Cricetulus griseus: one gene and its partners. The protein of the gene in region 1 purifies or fractionates together with the protein of each later gene. This does not show direct contact. Links are inferred from orthologs where the notes say so. Each region holds a gene or a part of one and is shown on either strand. Other genes may lie near its edges.

The links.
Region 2: the proteins of Bag5 (region 1) and Dnajb4 purify together in Homo sapiens (affinity purification with mass spectrometry; 4 studies listed by BioGRID and IntAct, with this or other methods). This does not show direct contact. The link is inferred for Cricetulus griseus from reciprocal best matches to the Homo sapiens genes BAG5 and DNAJB4.
Region 3: the proteins of Bag5 (region 1) and Dnajb1 purify together in Homo sapiens (affinity purification with mass spectrometry; 3 studies listed by BioGRID and IntAct, with this or other methods). This does not show direct contact. The link is inferred for Cricetulus griseus from reciprocal best matches to the Homo sapiens genes BAG5 and DNAJB1.

The regions. Positions count from the first base shown.
Region 1 is NC_048598.1:182,323,080-182,326,825, reverse strand, and holds the start of Bag5 (BAG family molecular chaperone regulator 5), read right to left. Parts: upstream 2,789-3,746; 5' UTR 2,616-2,788; coding exon 2,602-2,615; intron 1,409-2,601; coding exon 40-1,408; 3' UTR 1-39. Other genes in the region: cytochrome c oxidase assembly factor 8, read left to right, coding at 3,281-3,409. UniProt on the Homo sapiens protein: Co-chaperone for HSP/HSP70 proteins. It functions as a nucleotide-exchange factor promoting the release of ADP from HSP70, thereby activating HSP70-mediated protein refolding.
Region 2 is NW_023276806.1:7,154,206-7,157,851, reverse strand, and holds part of Dnajb4 (dnaJ homolog subfamily B member 4), read right to left. Parts: intron 2,615-3,646; exon of another isoform or gene 1,704-2,614; intron 1,261-1,703; exon of another isoform or gene 1,215-1,260; 5' UTR 1,184-1,214; coding exon 973-1,183; intron 1-972. UniProt on the Homo sapiens protein: Probable chaperone. Stimulates ATP hydrolysis and the folding of unfolded proteins mediated by HSPA1A/B (in vitro).
Region 3 is NC_048596.1:160,786,745-160,790,490, forward strand, and holds the start of Dnajb1 (dnaJ homolog subfamily B member 1), read right to left. Parts: upstream 2,372-3,746; 5' UTR 2,269-2,371; coding exon 2,058-2,268; intron 579-2,057; coding exon 1-578. UniProt on the Homo sapiens protein: Interacts with HSP70 and can stimulate its ATPase activity. Stimulates the association between HSC70 and HIP. Negatively regulates heat shock-induced HSF1 transcriptional activity during the attenuation and recovery phase period of the heat shock response.

The DNA of each region.
Region 1 (3,746 bases):
CAGATAAAGTGTGAACCAGCAGGAGCAGCTCCTGGTCCATCAGTACTCCCACTCGTCGGACTTCAGATCAAGGTAGCTGAGGATGTTCTGGGCCAGCTTCACAGCCTGCTTCCTAGCAGACTTACACTTCTCTTCTCCCTGGGGGTCAACAGCGTCCAGGGTCAGCAACTGTTTGGTCAGCAGCTCCTCCAGACGGATATAGTTCTTATCAGTTCGGTTTCCACCAAACGAGAGGACTTCACCCTGAATCTCTGACAGGTTTCCAAGGACATCCCACACAGCCTTGTGTGGGGGGTTCTCCTCACTAGGGAAGAGCTTCCTCTTCTCCAGGGCCTCCTTGAGGTCCAGGTACGTGATCAGGGTCTGCACTTCAATCACGGCTCTTCTCCTGGCTTCCCGGATGCAGGGGTTCTTCTCAACACTGACTTCATCTAGCTGTCCGATCAAGCCCTGAAGTTCTGTCTTGGAGCTCAGGTACAGTTCGGGAGGGCTCTGAGCCTGGAGAAGTTCATTTTTTATCTCTCGCATCCTCTTGAGCACCTTTTCTATTTTCAGAATGGAATGGTTCTGCCCCAGGTCAAATGCATGTGTACTGTCAGCTTCCTCTTCTAAATCTAGGTATTTCAGTAGTTTGTTGATGTCCTCCACCACCTCCCTCCGGTAATTTCTGATCTCCGTACGCCCACACACGTCTAAAGCATCTAGATCAGCCATCAACCCTGACAGCACGCACGATAGGTGCCTGCAAGTCTCAGTACTGTCCACGCCCATCAGAAGTGCGATCAAAGTGCCCCTGGCCTTGTTCACCTCACACATCACCAAATTGATCTTGGCAACTGAAGGGTGCACATCCTCAGAGAGCGGCAGGGAAGGCTGCTTCTTCATGCAGTCTTCAATGATCTCTTGCACGGCACAGATCTTGGTTAGGGTGTGGTACCTTGCTTTCCGCAAAGAGATCTTCCCTCCTGTTTTAACATGCGTCAGCCTCAGAATGATGTCCTGGATGCCTTCCTCAAATTCGTCAGTCACACAGTTGCCTCCACTGTAAAAGGGCACGATCTTTTCTTTCACAAGGGCCTGTGCCTCCTTAAAGATGTTCTGGATTTCAATCCGGTGTGGGTGGTTTGCATTCTGCTCCAACTCTTTGAGAAGGCCTTCTGTCTCCTGCGCTGCCCTCTTCCTAGCTTGCTGAATGTCTCCTTTTCCTTCTGTGTCTACAGAGTCTATTTCAAAAAGTTGTTTCGTCAGAATCCTCTCCAGTCTCTTGTAATTCTTGTCATCCGCCAGGCCGCTGAAGCCAACCACTTGAGGCTCTATACTCTTGACTTCTCTTTGGATCTCCTGAAGCCTACTAATAGAAGGGTGTTGGTTTCCCATATCCATACTTCTGTGTTCAGTTTCACAAGCACTGAAAGACGGCAAGAGTAACTTATTACAGTCTCTGCAGGACAGTTAGATCAACCCACTTTAAACTCACTTTTAAAAGGCATACTTTTTAAAGGATTAATTGGGGCTATGGAGACAGCTGTCAGTCAAGTGCTCCAGTTGGAGCTCCAGAACACATGCAAAGACAGCCAGGGCAAGGGCCCTAGAGAGGGCTCAGTGGTTAAGAGCACTGGATGCTCTCCAGAGGACCTGGGTTCAATTCCCAGCACCCACATGGCCTCTCCTGGTCACCTGTAACTCCAGTTCCAGGTGATCTGATCCCCTCTTTTGGCCTCTACAGGCGCCAGGCACACATGTGATGCACACACATACATGCAGGCAAAACACCGGTGCACATAAAACGTAAAAGCCAGGCAAGATGGTGCTCACTTACACCACCGGTGCCAGGAGTCAGAGACGCGTGGACTCTGTGGTTCACTGGCCAGCTAGCCTACTCCGATTGGGGAGCTTCGGGCCATGAGAAGCCCCGCCTCAAAAAAAACAAAGTAGAAGGACACCACAGAAATGGTGTGTCTGGGGGGAGGGGGGCAGGGTTGAACTCTGGCACCCGGGCAAGCACCAAAACACACAGACGGAAGGTTTTGTCGTTATTTATAGATTTGGAAGACATACTCGAGGAAAGAGGAGATGTGACATGTTAACTCCCTCTCGGGAAAGCACTTCACAAAACAATGTGCCAACACGCCCGGCGCCAGGGAGGCAGAGGGAAGAGAATTAGGAGTTCAAGACCCGCCCGGGCCACTCAGTGAGATCCTGACTCAAAAGCAAAACGAAAACAGGGAGAAGTCTGTCCAGTCTGGGGTGGATGTCTGGGCCTGGGAATCAAAGTGAGCCGCGCGCACACACACACGCACACACGCACACACGCACACACACGCACACACTTTCACGGAGGCCAAACCATCCGCGTCAACCCCGTTTCCTCTGCTCCCACCGCCCTAGAGGACGACTGGGAGCGGCAGGCGGGGCGGGAGGCTCCCCTGTGGAAGTCATCGGGCGCTCTCCGGGGCTCCTCACCGGGCCACCGTTCTGCCCCAGGCCCAACCGGACTTGTCCTTTCCACGAAGTCCTCGCCCCCCTCGACTCCCATTGCTGCCCCGACCCGGGCCCCCGCCAGAAAGCGTGACAAGTGCGGTTATTAGCTGGGTCACTCGCCTCCCCGTAAGCATGCTTAGAGCTTTTCCCACGCTCGCTCGCTCGCTCGTTCCGTCTCTCAGGTTTCTGTCAAACCGCTCACTTCCGGCGGGCCGGCCACAGAACTCAGTCCAAGCCCGGAGAGGTGCGGGCGGCGGCGGTCTTGGCGGCCGCGGAGGGCGGCGAGGCGGGAGACCGGCCCGTCACGGGGAGCGGCGCCGGAGCGGGGCCCCCAGCGGCATCCCCCTCGCCCTTCCCGGCTAGGTCTGACCCGGGCGGCCGGTGAAGGGGCCGGCGGAGGCGGCGGCAGCTACTGGCCGCGGCGGCCGCTCCGGGGCGTCTCGGCCGGGCCCGACGCGCCGCCGCCTGACCTCACAATGGGCGCGCGGGAGCGGCGGCGGCGGGGAGAACGAGGCCCGCGCCCCCCCCGCGCTGCGCTGCGCTCACCTGGGCCGCTCGCGCCATCGCGCGCGCTCCTCCGCCTGCACTTCCGCAGCGTTGCCGAGGCGGCGCCCGCCGCGGGGCCGGCCGCCCAGCTCCGAGCCCGGGGAAAAACGCGGCCGGGCCCCGCCCCGGGCGCGCCCGCCGCCGCTCTCCGGGAAAGCGCACGGTCGGCCTCGCCCGCGCCGCCCGCCGCCGCCCGCGCGACGCTGCCGTAAAGCGGACCGCGGCGCTGTCGCGATCGCGCCGCGCGCCGGCCATGGCGGCTCTGCGGCCCGGAAGCGGAGCGCTCGTCCGGCCGCTCGTCCGCTCCTCGTCCAGCGGCGGCGGCGGCGGCCGGCTGGCCCGGGAACGCGGCACGGAGCGCAGGGATGCGGCGTCCAGCCCGGTGAGCGGACGCCCGGGGAGGGAGCGGGGCGTCCCCGGAGCCGGCGTGAAGCGCTGTCGGCGCGCTGCGCCCTCACTTCCGCTGCGCGAAGGCGCCCGGGCTCGGTCTGGAGGCGGCGGCGGCTCGGGCCGCGCGTTGTTTGTAAACAGTCGCGCAGCGTCAGAGGCCGCAGGGCGCGTCCGCAGCGAGCCGGGAAAGCGGCCGGGCGCTCGGCTTTTGTTTAACCCGCCGCCCTTCTTCCCGAGCCGGTGCTTCGTTTAAGGGAGGCCCGGGCCAGTGAGAGTGATGGCTGAGGCTTCAGGTGGAGAGCACTAGACAGCGCCCATGGCTGCCCGCA
Region 2 (3,646 bases), on another chromosome or scaffold:
GACAATGGAAAGGTTCTAGTTTATGCATACATTTCATGGAGATGCTGGACAAACCTGGTTTAGGGTCCACATCGATAAAAGGAGACTCTCAAAGGTCTCCCGTTTCCTGTGCTCACTCACTAAGTTCTAGTCTCAGAAGGCAGGGGGAGAGTGTGGCAGAGGGAACGCCCCCCACCTCGGGAGGGAAGATTGGGGGTGCACACTTTCCTCTCACATAGATAGTAAAATGTCAGAAAGGATAGTTAACTCAAGGAAAATCAGACCTTGTTCTAACCAGGTGGCCATTTTAGGTTAAAAAGGAAAACCAAACTCTGAGACCTTGTTGCCTGGCACTCAATCACTGTTTACAATTAAGCTAAAAAACTTGTTCTGGTATTTTATGACATCAGGAAAATTCTTTCTTCTCTAGGCAGATTGCCAAAAACAACTAGACGCTAAATGCCTGTGCCTTCTGTGTCTAAGACACACGACTCTGTCTTGTTCAGTCTCAACTAGCTTTGCTCTAAAAAGGCAAAAAAAAAAAAAAAAAACCCTTCTTGTTTTTCTGAATAAAATATAAAGGACCCAGAATTTGAACTGACAATTTTAAGATTTTAAGTGACTGAAGACTATTAATTCTGGGGGGGGGGGGAATCCATTTTTTTAAAAAAGCGCAGGTTGCATAAGACTTTTAAACAATTCATTCCTCAGCACAGGAATTTAATTAAAATTTCTTTTAAAAAATAAGGTGCTAAAACTGTAAGTCTAACAGTAGAATATGTATAATACAATATTATTTAAGACAAAACAAAAAACAAACATGAACACTTCATTCATAGCTCACTCAAATAATCAGGAATAAAACCTTGTTTTTAATCAGTTATTTCCCTTTTTATTTCAGGTATGCCTGCCGATCTAATTTAAAGATAACCAGGAGGCTGAGAGAGAAAAAGGTGAGATTCAGGGCCAAAGGAAGGGAAATGGGCAGCTTACCTTCTTCCCCAAACTGATCATATATCTCTCTCTTTTTAGGATCACTCAGTACTTCATAGGCTTCTGCGACCTCTTTAAATTTCTCCTCTGCTTGCGGGGATTTGTTCTTGTCCGGGTGGAATCTGAGGGCTTGCTTTCGGTAAGCCTTTTTAATGTCTTCATCTGTAGCTCCTTTTTCAATTCCCAAAATGTAATAATAGTCTTTCCCCATTTCGAATGCCTTGAAATGAACTTAGCTTTCCCTTTGTAAAAGAAAACAGCGTCTCCAGTCTTAGCAATACAACGATTCTGAGAAAATAAGGCAAGCTGGCTATCTTAAAAGTTAAAGCAATCAGCGACTCGGCTCCGCTGTCTGGAGGCAGCAGGCAGCAGGCAGCGTCTCTTACGGATAAATATACCCCACACTAGAGAGACACGGCCTCCTTCTAGGCCCTCCCATTCTCACTACGTGTCTCTGCACTTTCTAGAACAGCAAATGCTACAGGACGTCACTTTCCCAGCGGCCTCTAGGCAAAGTGCTGGGCCTGTCCCTCCTCCATGGTTAACCATTCCCTTTCCTCTGGCTCTCCCATCTCATTTCCTGTGGATTTAACAAACCAGTATTTCAGCACAGAATGCCTGAACCAGAGATGCATTTACTTCATCACAGGCAAAGAGGCAACAGAAATAATTAAAGCCATTAGGTATCCCATCTTAAAGAAATTATACAAATAGAAAAGCCCTGAACTTACTGTAGGTATTCCAATTTCAAGTTACCCAGCTGTACAACAGCAGGACTAAACCATGAGGTATTTACATTTAAAGTCTTCAAATAATTTGGGTCATTTTCAAAATTCCAGGGGGCTTTCAATCTGAACGGTGAGGGGCGGTCACTATATGAAATTTCACATGGTTGAAAAGCTATAATAAAATAAAAAAGCAGCATTTTAACGTAAATGACTGGAGAGTGATTTTAACTAGTTTTTGGTAACATTTAATAATTCATTATTTGTAAAAGCTCATTGTCTGTGTTCTTATTGTGAAACGTAAGATCCCATTCCAAGGGTTACTGTTTGCCTAAAGCAGGAGGGTTCGGGAGGCTCACATTTCAACAGGCTCAGGTTCACAGTAAATCTCACCCTGAATCAGCTTAAAACCTGGGTATGCATCAAGGTGACAACTACTTTAAAGCACATTTCCCCTCATTTTAAATATGTACTTAATGACAAAGATTTTTGAAAACCTGGGGGGAAATCCCCCCCCCGTTTTTTTTTAGTATTCCCTGTTACTATCAGTATATTTTCTTTTAATTCTTTCAAAAAACATTTATTGCAAATTGCTGTAATTTTTTTTGCAAATTGCTGTAATTTTTTAATCAACAAAGTTTAAATCGCATTTACATTTGTATGTCATGTGATGCTTTCTCCTACAATGTATGTTGAATAAATGAGAATATTTTGAATGTATATAATTCATCTTTTATCTCTTATATGGGTTTTCAATCTTTTCCCAAAATGTTCCCATTTCTAGGTGAACTTAGTTTCTTAGCGAAACTAAGGCCTTGGATACAGTTACTAGGCACGCCCTCACCACTGACTATACTGCAGCCACACCATTTCATAGGATATTGAAAAGATGGATTGCTAAGACAATGTCCAAAGAAATGCACTCAGTTCACACTGCATTTACAACCCCTCTGGAAACGCGGGGCGGGGGCGGGCGGGGCAGGGGTGGGGGGCCCAAAGGGAAAGGAGTGGCCCTGCCTGATAAGAATACACTGAAAACTTGAGGCAATGGAAACGCCCCTCTGCTGGCTAACACTTGATGACTCGGCACTTCTGAAGGCTTACCTTTGCTGCACAGCTATAACAACTTCCTAGCTCTCCAAGTCCCTCCCACAGCACCTTGCTGATGGGAACCTGGCACACCTGGCCTCTACAGCCAGAGCTTAGTGAGCCATCAACAAACATCAATATCAAAAGACTTGTCAAATCCAGAGAATCTGGGAGAAGATATTATCAAAAGTCACCATGAGACTGCTATTTTGAAAATGCACACACCAGATATTTTAAGTATCTGCTTGCTGATACTGGTGTGTGTGTGTAGCAATGGGAGAGAATATCCAAAGAAGAGAAACTACAAGTGGTAACTGGCATGCTTTCCCCCTTAAAATTAAAGGCTAATATATTTTTGTCCAAGTATTAAAGTAGGGCTAGCACTTAAGGTTCTTATTTTACTATTAACTGGTAAGTTGACATGAAACTACACTTCTCTCGGTTTTATTACAGTATTGAAGCTAGATGTCTCACACCAGGAATTTCAGTACTCAGAAGAGCATGGATTTATTTTCCATATCTATCAAAAAGCTTAAATGTGATCATTTTATGAAAGTTAAAGCAGCCAAGTTTTCATGCAATAGTACAGAGAAGGGAAACACCACTCTACTTTGTCTTTTAATCAGGCTTCCTTGCTTGGGGTATTATGCTTCAGTGATTGTAGAAAAAGTATTTGAACACAGAAGATGGCATTTAAACCCCCAAACCTACAAGTATAACACATCATTCCACTGATCCCACCTTTTTCTAGTTTAGTACTCCTGAAAAACAAAAACAAATCCCAGCTGTGGTAATGGTTCATGCCAACATCCCAGCACTCAAGAGACTGAGGCAGCGGAAGATCAGCCTAGGGTACTCAG
Region 3 (3,746 bases), on another chromosome or scaffold:
CCGAAGGCTAATCCTGGCTGGATAGATGACATCAGAACCATCTCTCTTGAAGATATTGTGTGGCTTGTCCTTTAAAACAAAGACGATGTCAGCTGGAATGTTGTTGGAAGTCTGGTCCCCTTCCTTGGGAAAGGTGATTTTGGTCCCTTCTTTCCAGCCCCTCTTCACTTCAATGGTCAGGATCTTATCTTCATTTCGAATGCTCTTTCCATCGGGGTTCAGCCGCTTGTGGGAGATTTTCATTTTCTTGGTACAGCCGCTGTAGATCTCTTCAAGGGAGACCCGGAGATCGTGGGTGACTGGGGGATCTTGCTTCTTTCGGGCAGGCTCTTGGGCAGGGCGGGCACGTCCAAAGTTCACATTGGTGAAGCCACCCATACCCATTGGAAAGCCCGAGAATGGGTCATCGATGTCCATGCCTTCTTCCCCGTTGCGCTGCCCAAAAAAGGTATCAAAGGGGTTTCTGCCACCAAAGAACTCAGCAAACATGGCATGAGGGTCTCCATGGAATGTGTAGCTGAAGGAGGTACCATTAGCACCGCCACTGCTACCGCCACTGGGGCCACCACCCTTTAGGCCTGGAAAACAAAATCAGAAATCAGAGTTACTGTAGGAGAGTCAAGGCCCTTGGTTTCCATTTCTAGCACTGCAATAAATTAACACATTTACAAAACAAAATCAAGCCTGGCGTTGGGTGGTGTATGCCTTTAATCCCAGCACTCGGGAGGCAGAGGCAGGTGGATTTCTGTGAGTTCGAGGTCAGCCTGGTCTCCAGATCGAGTGCCAGGATAGGCTCCAAAGCTACAGAGAAACCCTGTCTCGGGGGAAAAAAACAAAACAAACAAACAAAAAAATCCCACCAACAAACCCATAAAATCCTTAAAATAGAAAGCCCAGACATGGTGTCGAATGCTTGGAAACCCAGCACTCCGAAGACAGGAGCAGGTTGATCTCTGCAAGTTCCAGACCAGCCAGGACTCCAACACGAGGCATTGGGGACGGCTCAGAAGTTAAGAGCACTTGCTCCTATGGCAGAGGAACCATGTTCGATTATCAACTCCCACACAACAGCAGACAACTAACTCCAATTCCAGGGGATTCAACATCCTCTTCTCTCGAAGCAAGTACACAGTGAACATACATACATACACGTACCCATATATATAGAAGTAAAAATAAAAGCCTGAACTACACAGTGCGATCCGGTGACTGTCATGTTATATAGCCCTTGAACTTGCTGAATAGTCCAGGTTAGCCTAGAGGCAATCCTCCTGACTCAGACATACCAGACCTGGGATTGTCACTACATCCTGCTCTTTTGGAAACAGGAGCTCATTCTGTAGCTCAGATTTGAAGCAAATTCACAACAATGCTTCAGCCTCCAAAGTGGGGTGTGTGAGCTCCCGCACCTGGCTCAACAAGTTTTGCTTTTAATAAAAAAAGCCCTGGGAACCGTAGTGGGAGGGGTTATATGTATTTTTAAGTTTGTTCTAGGTGAATCTCAAGTCTTTAACTGCCAATGGCAGCAGGAGCAGGAAACACATTACTCCCTTTCACTTCGTGACAATTCGGTAGTAAGGCCTGCAGCTGTCGGCGCCACCAGGTCTACTTGACAGCCCCATCCTCTCTGCCATGCTGTAACACCTTACAGAGAAGTTCCTACGCACTGCGGCCAGAAAGGCTCAGCTCAACTCTGGGTTAAGCGCTGAGCCTGCGGGTTAGCGGGCCCAGAGGAACAAACACTCGGGCGATTTTCAAAATCTCACACCCTAGCGATCGCGACCGCCGCCCTCCGTCTGCAGCGTTCGGGCGCTGTGCAGGCGGCCGGCCCGCCGGCCGGGAGGGGCTGCGGCAGACGTGCTAGAAGCTTCTGTGTGAGCGGCGGGCGCGCCCAAAGCTCCTCCTCCCGGCTGAGGCCGCCGATCAGAGGGCGGAGGCGGCACCGCCGCCGGATCCCCGGGCCGTCGATGCGGGGCCGAGGCCTCAGAGAGGCCCCGAGTGCCTCGGTTTCCCTGCCTGTCAAACGGCGGGTCACCCCCGGCCGCGCGCACGCGTACCTTCTTCTCCGTAGCGGTCGAAAATCTCGCGCTTGCGCGGGTCGCTGAGCACGTCGTAGGCCTCGGCGATCTCCTTGAACTTCTCCTCGGCGCCGGGCTCCTTGTTCTTGTCGGGGTGGTAGCGCAGCGCCTGGCGGCGGTAGGCTCGCTTGATCTCGTCGTCGGACGCGCCGCGGGCCAAGCCCAGCGTCTGGTAATAGTCCTTGCCCATGGCCACCGCCGCCCAGCTGTCGCCGCCTCCGGCTCCGCAGCTGCCCTGTCCCGGACTCTATATACCCGTCCGGCGGAAGCTTCCAGATCCCGCCAGCCCTCCAGAACCTTCCGCCCCTCCCGGCGCGCCGCGCCACTCGGGCCAATCGCTGCCGGCCGCTCCGTGACGCAGAACATCCGGGGTGGGACCCGGCAGCCAACGGCCTTCCGCGCGAGGCCACGCCCCTTCCCGCTCTACCCTGGTCAACGCCTCCCTGGGGCGCGCGCGCCCCTGCCTGAGGTCCCGCCTCCGCAGTGGAGACAGCCAATCGCGGCCCGCTCTCACTGCCGACTGGTGACGACGTGGGGAGGGGGCGGGGCTACAGAGGCGGGTCTCTTCCGAAGCCGCACCCTGTCCCTAGGTGAAGACCGGCTGGGCGGTCCTGCCCGGTGACTTGTAGCTGCCCGACCCGTCCCTCCAAGTTCCCTCTGCTGTCACCCAGGGATAAAAGTCCGCACCCCACCCTCTCCTGCCGGTTGCTCCGTACAGGCCGTTACTGTAAAGCGAGGTGAGGCTGGTCTGGCGAGGGATCGCCCCAGTCCGGGTACTCAGGCTTCCTTACTTCCTGCTGAGGAATTAGCCGGGTTCTTGGCGTTCCGGGTAGATGTCACTCACTTTGCTGTCTGAGTTCACCACCAGGGCAGACATTGGATTTTGCTTCGTGGCTGTGCATCTTTTTCAGGACCCACTAGGTGCTTCGTAAATATTTCCGAATGCTTTGACGTGGGCGCTTCTTGCTGTGGGGGAACAGAGCACCTCTGTTAATTGACTCTTTGGGTTTTTAAGTCTTGGATGATGGCGGTCAAGGACACAGCTGAGAGCAAAGGGGAGAGAGCTTCTGAAACTGCCAGGCTTAGAGAAGCGGGGGTAGTCGGTTTTGGTTCCTGCAGGGAGAGAAACTACCTGGAAGTCAGAGCACGAGCCTTGACTCTGTAGCCAGAGAGAGTAGGCTTCGTTCCAGATCCTAGTACTTCCTGGCTGTGTGACCTTGAATTGGTAAAGTAGCCGTTCTGGCCTCAGTCGTGCTCACTTATGAAATCGGAATGGCCGCTGTATATAGGAAGTTGACGTTACTCAGCATCTGTGAAAGTGCTCAAGAAAAACCAGGGACAAAGGGATGACTAATTGTCTTGTTTAGTGGATGACGCTGACACCTCCTCTCTGGCAGCCCTGCAGCGTCTGAGCCTCTGCTGAACCTTGCGTTGGACAGCCCGAGACCTGTGAGAAAGATGACCTTAGCCTTCTCTTGGTGGTCTATCCGGATGTGTGTGTTCTGGTTTTCCTGACCACACTGACCCCAAGAGAACTGAAAAGGGCTCTGTCTAAACACAGTTGAGCCCCTGCCCCCAAAATGGAATTGGGACTAGGGGATCCTTTAGCTCAACAGAGGATGTCCTGAACCAGTCACTTGGAAATATTCAATGTTACCTAGAGAAATA